Linked DNA regions of Nothobranchius furzeri. The protein of the gene in region 1 purifies or fractionates together with the protein of each later gene. This does not show direct contact. Links are inferred from orthologs where the notes say so. Each region holds a gene or a part of one and is shown on either strand. Other genes may lie near its edges.

Evidence for each region.
Region 2: the proteins of ptpn6 (region 1) and rpl35a purify together in Homo sapiens (affinity purification with mass spectrometry; 3 studies listed by BioGRID and IntAct, with this or other methods). This does not show direct contact. The link is inferred for Nothobranchius furzeri from reciprocal best matches to the Homo sapiens genes PTPN6 and RPL35A.

The regions. Positions count from the first base shown.
Region 1 is NC_091745.1:73,963,614-73,967,113, reverse strand, and holds part of ptpn6 (tyrosine-protein phosphatase non-receptor type 6), read left to right. Parts: intron 1-806; coding exon 807-903; intron 904-993; coding exon 994-1,073; intron 1,074-1,156; coding exon 1,157-1,303; intron 1,304-1,452; coding exon 1,453-1,584; intron 1,585-3,206; coding exon 3,207-3,358; intron 3,359-3,500. UniProt on the Homo sapiens protein: Tyrosine phosphatase enzyme that plays important roles in controlling immune signaling pathways and fundamental physiological processes such as hematopoiesis.
Region 2 is NC_091753.1:55,779,260-55,783,310, forward strand, and holds rpl35a (large ribosomal subunit protein eL33), read left to right. Parts: upstream 1-1,251; 5' UTR 1,252-1,341; intron 1,342-1,426; exon of another isoform or gene 1,427-1,639; intron 1,640-2,005; 5' UTR 2,006-2,030; coding exon 2,031-2,041; intron 2,042-2,264; coding exon 2,265-2,417; intron 2,418-2,495; coding exon 2,496-2,640; intron 2,641-3,731; coding exon 3,732-3,755; 3' UTR 3,756-3,809; downstream 3,810-4,051.

The sequences.
Region 1 (3,500 bases):
AATGTTTAAAAAAATTGAATTTTTTTCTTTTTTAGAACTCATTTTTTGCAGTGTAGCTGTAAAATCTACTTAACCTTCACAATCCTCATGCATTATGTTATATAGCTATAGAGCACAGCTTTAAATTAAACATTCTCCTGTAAACTAGAACAACAGGTTCCTTGATCGTTTTTTTTTTTGCCTTTTATTTTAATTCTAGTTTTTTCTCCTGATCTTTCGTTCTTCCTTACACAGGATCAGCTTTCCATTTAGACCTCCAAACCTTGACCGATGAATCAATAATGCTAAAGAAAATGAATAAAACATCCTGAGCTCAACACATAACAAGCAGCTGAACAAAGAAACTGGTTTTGAAATACGGATCTCCAGGATGTTTGTTACCAGCAGCTGGACACAGACACCAAATCTTTTTATTTGTTAACATCAGTTCTTCTAAACCTTTATCATTTAGGACTTTTTTCCCAAAGCTCACACATCAAGTTGCCTCAGTTTTTTCTGACACACTGCACAGATATTTTGACTGAACTGGACAGAAAACGGGTGAAAAATCTGCCAAAATATAAAAAGGATTAGTGAAAAATCAAAGTGAAAATGTTTGGTCATCCTTTTATGAGACCTACAAAGGTTTAAATAGAGGACCAGAACAAAAACAAACAAGGTCATTTAGAGAATAGCTAGGAGGAATTAGGAGTTTTTCTTGTTCCTGCATATAGGAAATTGCAAAAATACATTTATTTTGATGAGTTTGTCTCAATAAAATCGTATGTAATTCCCAGTATCTGACACAAATATCTCTTCTCTTGCAGGCTCTTCAAAAATTGGAGACGAAGGTGAAAAAGAGCAGAGAGGAAGGTCAAAGACCAGAGAATAAGAGCAAAAACAGATACAAGAACATTCTTCCCTGTGAGTTTTAACCTTCTGGTTCTCGCTCTGTAAACAAAAACCCGGTTCTGTGACCAATCCTGTCTCCCTCTTCTTGTCTTCTCTCACAAGTCAACGACACCAGAGTCATCCTGAAGAACGCTTCTCCTGATGTCGTCGGCTCCGATTACATCAATGCTAACTACGTGAAAGTAAGTGGTGGAACGCTCTGGACGAGCAGCGCCGCCGTCTGAAAACCGTCTGGGCCTTTAGCGTGTTTGTGTGTTGGTTGCAGAACAAGCTGTGGGAATCTGTTGGACAGAAAAAGTACATCGCCACTCAGGGATGCCTCGCAACAACCGTCAACGATTTCTGGCAGATGGTGTGGCAGGAGAACACAACTGTGATTGTCATGACAACGAGAGAGGTGGAGAAAGGACGGGTCAGTATCCAAAATGACAGGAACAGACACTTAAAAAAATCCAAACATTCCTACTGAATAAAGATGAACTTTATTGGCTGAGATGCAATAATCTACATTTGCTGATGATATTAGAGATTATCTGAGTGTCTTTTTTTGCTTTTCTGCAGAATAAATGCGTACCATACTGGCCGGAAAGTCAGACTTCCAAGAACGTGGGAGATTACGTGGTGACCTGTGAGTCGGAGCGGGAAGCTTCTGATTACAAAGTTCGACATCTGAAGATCGCTCCCGTGGCTAAGGTCACTTTCAAACCTCTGACATCATCAACTCTGTGCACTTTAGTCGTCCCTCCTTCTTTTAGATTTTCTTCGTTGTGATCCTTAAAGCAACACTAAATACATTTCCTGCCTCTGCTGGTTGAAAGCAGAAATACAACTGTTATAAACAACCTTGTAGCAGCCTGTCGTAGCTAGCACTAACAAGCTAGTGCTAGCCAACTGATACTGAATAAACCACAAAGTAAAAAGTTCCACACTGTTGGAGAAAGGATATTATTACTTACACGTCCAGTAGCAACAAAGCCAGGTCACCATCAGGCCGTGATTTTGCAGCCTCGTTTAGCTCCCTCAAACTAGCGTAGGGCGTGCCGATGTTCACTCAGGTTTTAGCTCTTTGCTTCTGCTCCAAAGACATTACTCTCTTACTCGAATTCTCTGCCATGATGCCAACAAAAAAAGCAAAAGTCGTCTTCTTCTTGACAGTAAGTGAACCAAAAAAAGCTAACTAGCCTTTTTAGCTAACTGCTAGTAGCACAATAAACAACTAACCCCCAAATTCCACTACCTCCGCTCCGCTCCGCTCCGGTCCGCCCCCGCCTTCCGCAGCCGCTCGCTTCCGAACTCAATTTTTACTGGTATCCGCTCTACAACGGCTCCGCTCCGGTGCGGAGACCTGAGGGGGGCAAACAAGCATGCGCGGGATTTTCGAGATCTTGCGATACAGTCCGAGCAATAAACGCGGAAGTTAGATCCAAACACCCGTTGTGCGGGAGAAGCATCGAAATGAGCTGTTTAATCTGCCCATCATTGTGTTGAGAGATCAGCAGTGTTTGGATCAACAAAGTGTGACTACTTTGATAGTGGCAACTGTATTTATGGCTTATTTTTGTGCATTTAAACTTCAGCCGCCATTGATAGTTGTTAAAAGTTGTTAAACCTGTGCATATGAAACAAAAAACGCCTTTTGTTTATCGATTTATTGTGAAAAACGGAAGATGTGCTTGCTCCTTTTCCTGTTGGGCCGTTGTGATTTCTGTCCATTTACTGCGGAGGTGCTCCGGCGTCCGGCAAAAATAGGATCGATTCTATTTTTGCCGGACGCCGGAACAGAGGGCGCCGCACGGCGCCGCACTGCCGGAGCACGGCCGCAGTAGTGGAATTGCTCTGATTGACTAGAACGGGACCGATTTTGCTCCGGCGTTCGTGTCGGAGCGGAGCGCAGCGGAGCGGAGGTAGTGGAATTTGGGGGTAACAGCTATAGAACAGGGTAGAGATCTCCCACCAGTGTTCCTACCCAAACCATAGAACTGTTTGGTCCAGTTTCTGGTCAGCAGGGGGAAACGGAGTGCTGTCCAATGTGAAGTCGGTCAAATTTATGGCTCAAAAACCACTGAAACCAGTTTGAAAGCAATAGCTTAAAGTATCTTCAGCCTTTGTGGTGGTTTTTCAGATCACTTTAGTCCAGAACTATAACATTTTGGAGGAAACATTTGCATTTATGTAATAGATTAGAATAAGAACATCCTTTATAGTCCCCTGATGGGGAAATTTAGGTGTAACAGCATCAAAGTACATTCACAAGAAGATTAAAAGGCTGTAAAGTAAAAAATATATATCTGAAACCATTTTTTTCTCACTCCCAGCCCAATTTTTCCCGTCCAGTATGGCACTACCAGTACCTCAGCTGGCCCGATCACGGCGTCCCTCAGGAACCAGGCGGAGTCCTCAGCTTCCTCACCCAAGTCAACGCTAAGCAGGACGAATTTAACACTGGTCCTATGATCATCCACTGCAGGTACCGAGTGCCTCGGGTCACTGCTGAGTCACTGTATTACAGAATAAATATCACCATAGATGTGCCTTTTTAATTTCCTAATACTGTTTTTTTTTGTACATAATTCTTTGAGGGTTTAAGAAACAAAAAATTAAGATTATTA
Region 2 (4,051 bases), on another chromosome or scaffold:
CACATTAGACCACTCCAGTTTCATGTTTATTTATTTATTTATTTTTTGTAAAAATCATCAAACACTTTTCTTTTTGGTCCACAAAAGACAGGACTGAAGGAGCCAATGCAGTATATTCTCCAAGACTGATGTGAGGAGAAAGGATGCTTCATGTTAAAATAACACTATCATCAGCATACATTTGGAAGTGTACACTGTGTCACACATTTGGCACATCATATATATATATATATATATATAGATAAGGAAAATAATACTGGCCCCAAAATAGAGCCTTGTGGGACCCCCGCTGAACAATCAAGGTATGATGACATCGTGTCCCTCACACACTGTCTTCTGTTGGACAAGTAAGACTGAAAACAAGCTATAGTGCATTTTCTGCTAAATTGATGTGAGTCAGTTTGGACGGAAGGGCTTGATGGTCTACTGTGTCCATCGTCTTCTATAAATCCAAAAAACACTGCACCAACACAGGGGGTTTTATCGTGCAAGGATTTCACTGTTTCTACAAAGATCCAGTTTGCTGTCTCTGTGGAATGGTACTGCTGAAACCCAAACTGCATGGGTGCAAGAAAGAATGGTGGCTGTGTTTATTCAGCAGCTTTAAATATAAGGGTCATTCGCAAGAAACCTTAACTTTCTAAGTAAGATTAATTATTTAAACAATGATAAGGTGAAGGTTTTTTTTGTTGTTATTTTGTTTTTTACAAGGCTTTAATGAACCGGTTCACCATTTCTTAGCTTGGTGGTCTCAGTGTGAAGAACCAAAACAATCAGACAGTGGCCCTGTCGGTACATCGTCAATCAAGTGAAGCATTTTCCACAGGCTTATTATTTCTTCTTTTATAAGTTTCTCAATTTACACAGATTACTCCATTGTATTTAAATTAACTTACTTTAATCTGTGTTTTTGTGTATTTTGTGCTTTATGTGTATGGCTGAGACAAGTTTCACTATTGGTCAGTAAAGTGAACCTGGACCTATAAAAGAGCTTTTATTTGCACAGTCAGATGGAATAACTGTTAATTAATCCGTTATTAAAAATAACGAGGCAATTTTAAGTGTTCCAACTATAATTATTTGTGTGTGTGTGTGTGTGTGTGTGTGTGTGTGTGTGTGACTTTTTCATGTGTTTTAGGCAATTTGGCGAAATTTACTGAAAGAAATTAGAAATTATTTCACTAATCTCAGTGACTCGGTTTTAATAGTTTATATTTATAATTGTATTCTAACTTACGGGGCATTTCCGATCAGGCATCTCCGCGGACACCTCTGTATGGTGTCATTACCCATCATTCCTTTCGGCCTGCCTTTTCCTCCATCTTTCTGGACTAGGAGCAGGTAAGCGTTGACTTCTCCTAATCAAACTTAAATTTCACCTGTAAAGTGTTTCATCTGAGGCCGATACCGGTCTGCTCTCCGCAGGCAGCGTCCCCTCCGTCCTCCGGTGTGTCGGTGTCCGTACTGGAAGTCCCGATTGTGGAGATTCGGTTCGGATGATGGAGCTAACGGCGGCTAACCAAACAGAGTCCGGTGTATGCATCGGGATGGGAGCGTTACAATTCACGGCGCTCCGTCGCTTTCTCGGGTCGTGTTCGGGTGTTTCCGGGAACGAAAAGCGTGACTTTTTCTTTCTAACGTAAGAAGCTGTTTTAAAGCGTAACCCGCTGTTAGCCGCGCTTTAATTTAGCCGTTTGTTCCGGGACCAGAGACCTGATGAGCTTCTGTTTGGACCTCCTTAACTCACCGGAACTTCCGGAATCACCGCGGAATCGGTTCGGTGTTTTCTCATGTGATATAGACACTGAAGATCTGTTATTGGGCTATACTGGTTCCGTTTCTGGAGTGGACTGGGTGGCGTTAGAAGTGAGGAGGAACCTTTCCCTAGAAGTTGAAGGCTAAAGCCAAATATGAACTCCTGCAGGAGAAAGGGACAGCCAAGTTAAAAAGGAGCTCTGTTAAATGGGAACCTGCAGTTCTAACGAGACACTTTCTGTTTGTACAGGTGAGCTCGCCTGAAGAGGACAACGATGCCTGGAAGGTAAGTTCAGATCTCTCCTGGGTTTTCAGATGTTGAGCAGATCAGAGATCAGCAGCTGGGGGTTCTGATTGTTTGGTCCATTTCAGTAGGTGTTACCTGCTCTAGGAGGGGTTATGATCCAAAATTATCAGAAAGTTCTCAGCTGTTCCGATACAAGTCAGACTGCAGACTCTTATCGGGACTATGTTGATGTTTGTCTCTTGTTGGTTCTCTTCTGACCCAGACTGTGGAGCAAGGCCATCTTCACCGGCTACAAGCGCGGTTTGAGGAACCAGCGTGAGCACACGGCGCTGCTGAAGCTAGAAGGCTGCTACAGCAAAGACGAGGTGGACTTCTACCTGGGGAAGCGCTGCGCTTACGTCTACAAGGCCAAGAAGTAGGGACCGCACACACTGGTGCTGCTGCTTCGTCTCTGGGGCTCCTGGGGACTGACTCTGGGTCTGTTTCACCACAGGAACACGGTGACACCCGGTGGGAAACCCAACAGGACCAGAGTGATCTGGGGGAAGGTAACCCGGGCCCACGGCAGCAGCGGGATGGTCCGAGCCAAGTTCAGCAGCAATCTGCCGGCCAAAGCGATCGGACACAGAATCCGTGTGGTGAGTTCTTCTACTACCTGCTGCGTCCCCCAGACCCGTCTCCTCGTCTCAGACCAGGTCCACCTCAGTCTTTAGCAGCAACACGGTTGGCTGATCGTCATTAGACCCTTTACTGACGATGGGGTCAAAGTTCTCTCTCTCTGTGTGTGTGTGTGTGTGTGTGTGTGTGTGTGTGTGTGTGTGTGTGTGTGTGTGTGTGTGTGTGTGTGTGTGTGTGTGTGTGTGTGTGTGTGTGTGTAAAACTGGTACTAATTGTTTTAATTGTTTTTACTTCCTGTTTGGATCAGTTGGGCCTGACCCATTAGAATAGTTCTAAGACAAGGTGACAGATCATTTGCTGCTGTGACCTCCAGACTCTAGAACCTCTCCCTGAGCCTGAGATCAGTGGACTTAATGGTCTCCTTTAAAAAAAAGCAACTGAAGAATTACCTGGTCAGACGTTTGGGGACATTTTGTCATTGAGCCGGTATACTGGTACAACAAAACTTGCGTTTCAGCATGACCCGTCCACGATTTAGACAAGCAACACTTTTAAAAAAACCAAGCACGACCAGGCTGACTGGCTCCTGAACCACCGCTCGTTAACGGCTCTTTTTTCTAGTGTTTCTGCATCTTTCTTTCTCTTTTATCTTCAAAGAGGTTCTACACCTATAACATAACGTCAGCGGGCAAATCTGGTCAATTCAATAGAAAACAGCTGGTATTTGACCCAATTCCTCTGGAGGTTTTTTTGGACGCGTCACTCTGATGGCGTCTTCTCACCCGTGTCATTGTGGCCAGGGATGCACAAGCTGCATCAGTATCTGTATCGTCTGACGAGTAAAACTGGGTCGATGTTAAACAATAGTTTTTCCATCTCGTTTCCATTTAGGCAGTTTTGAGTGTGTGTGTGTGTGTGTGTGTGTGTGGGGGGGGTGTATGTGTAATTTTTTTTAGTCATGTGACAGTGTGTTTGTGTGTGTGTGTGAATAAAAAAAATCAGTATCTTCAAATATCGGTCATTGGCCATAACAGTAATATTGATATCTGTATTGGCCCAACGTTTTCATATCGGTGCATCCCCAATTCATACAGTCTTCTCCTCTTTACAGATGCTGTATCCATCTCGGATCTGATGGGGTTGGATCATCTGGATGTTTGTACAGAAACAATAAACAGATTAAAAATCATGATCTCAGTGTTTTTCCTTCGTGGATCGGCTGGTCAATAGTTGATCAGCTGAGTTTCTGATCTAAAAGATCTTTAAAGAACAGAATTTCTTTTGGACTGATATCTGAAGTCGTTTGTTTTAACTGATGAAACAAATGAGCTGCAATCCTGGGTGATTTAAATCCACTGAAGAACCAGAACCTGAGACCCGATGGTTCCGAAGGGATCATAAGAACTTTTTCTGTTTCTGTTTGGAGTGCAC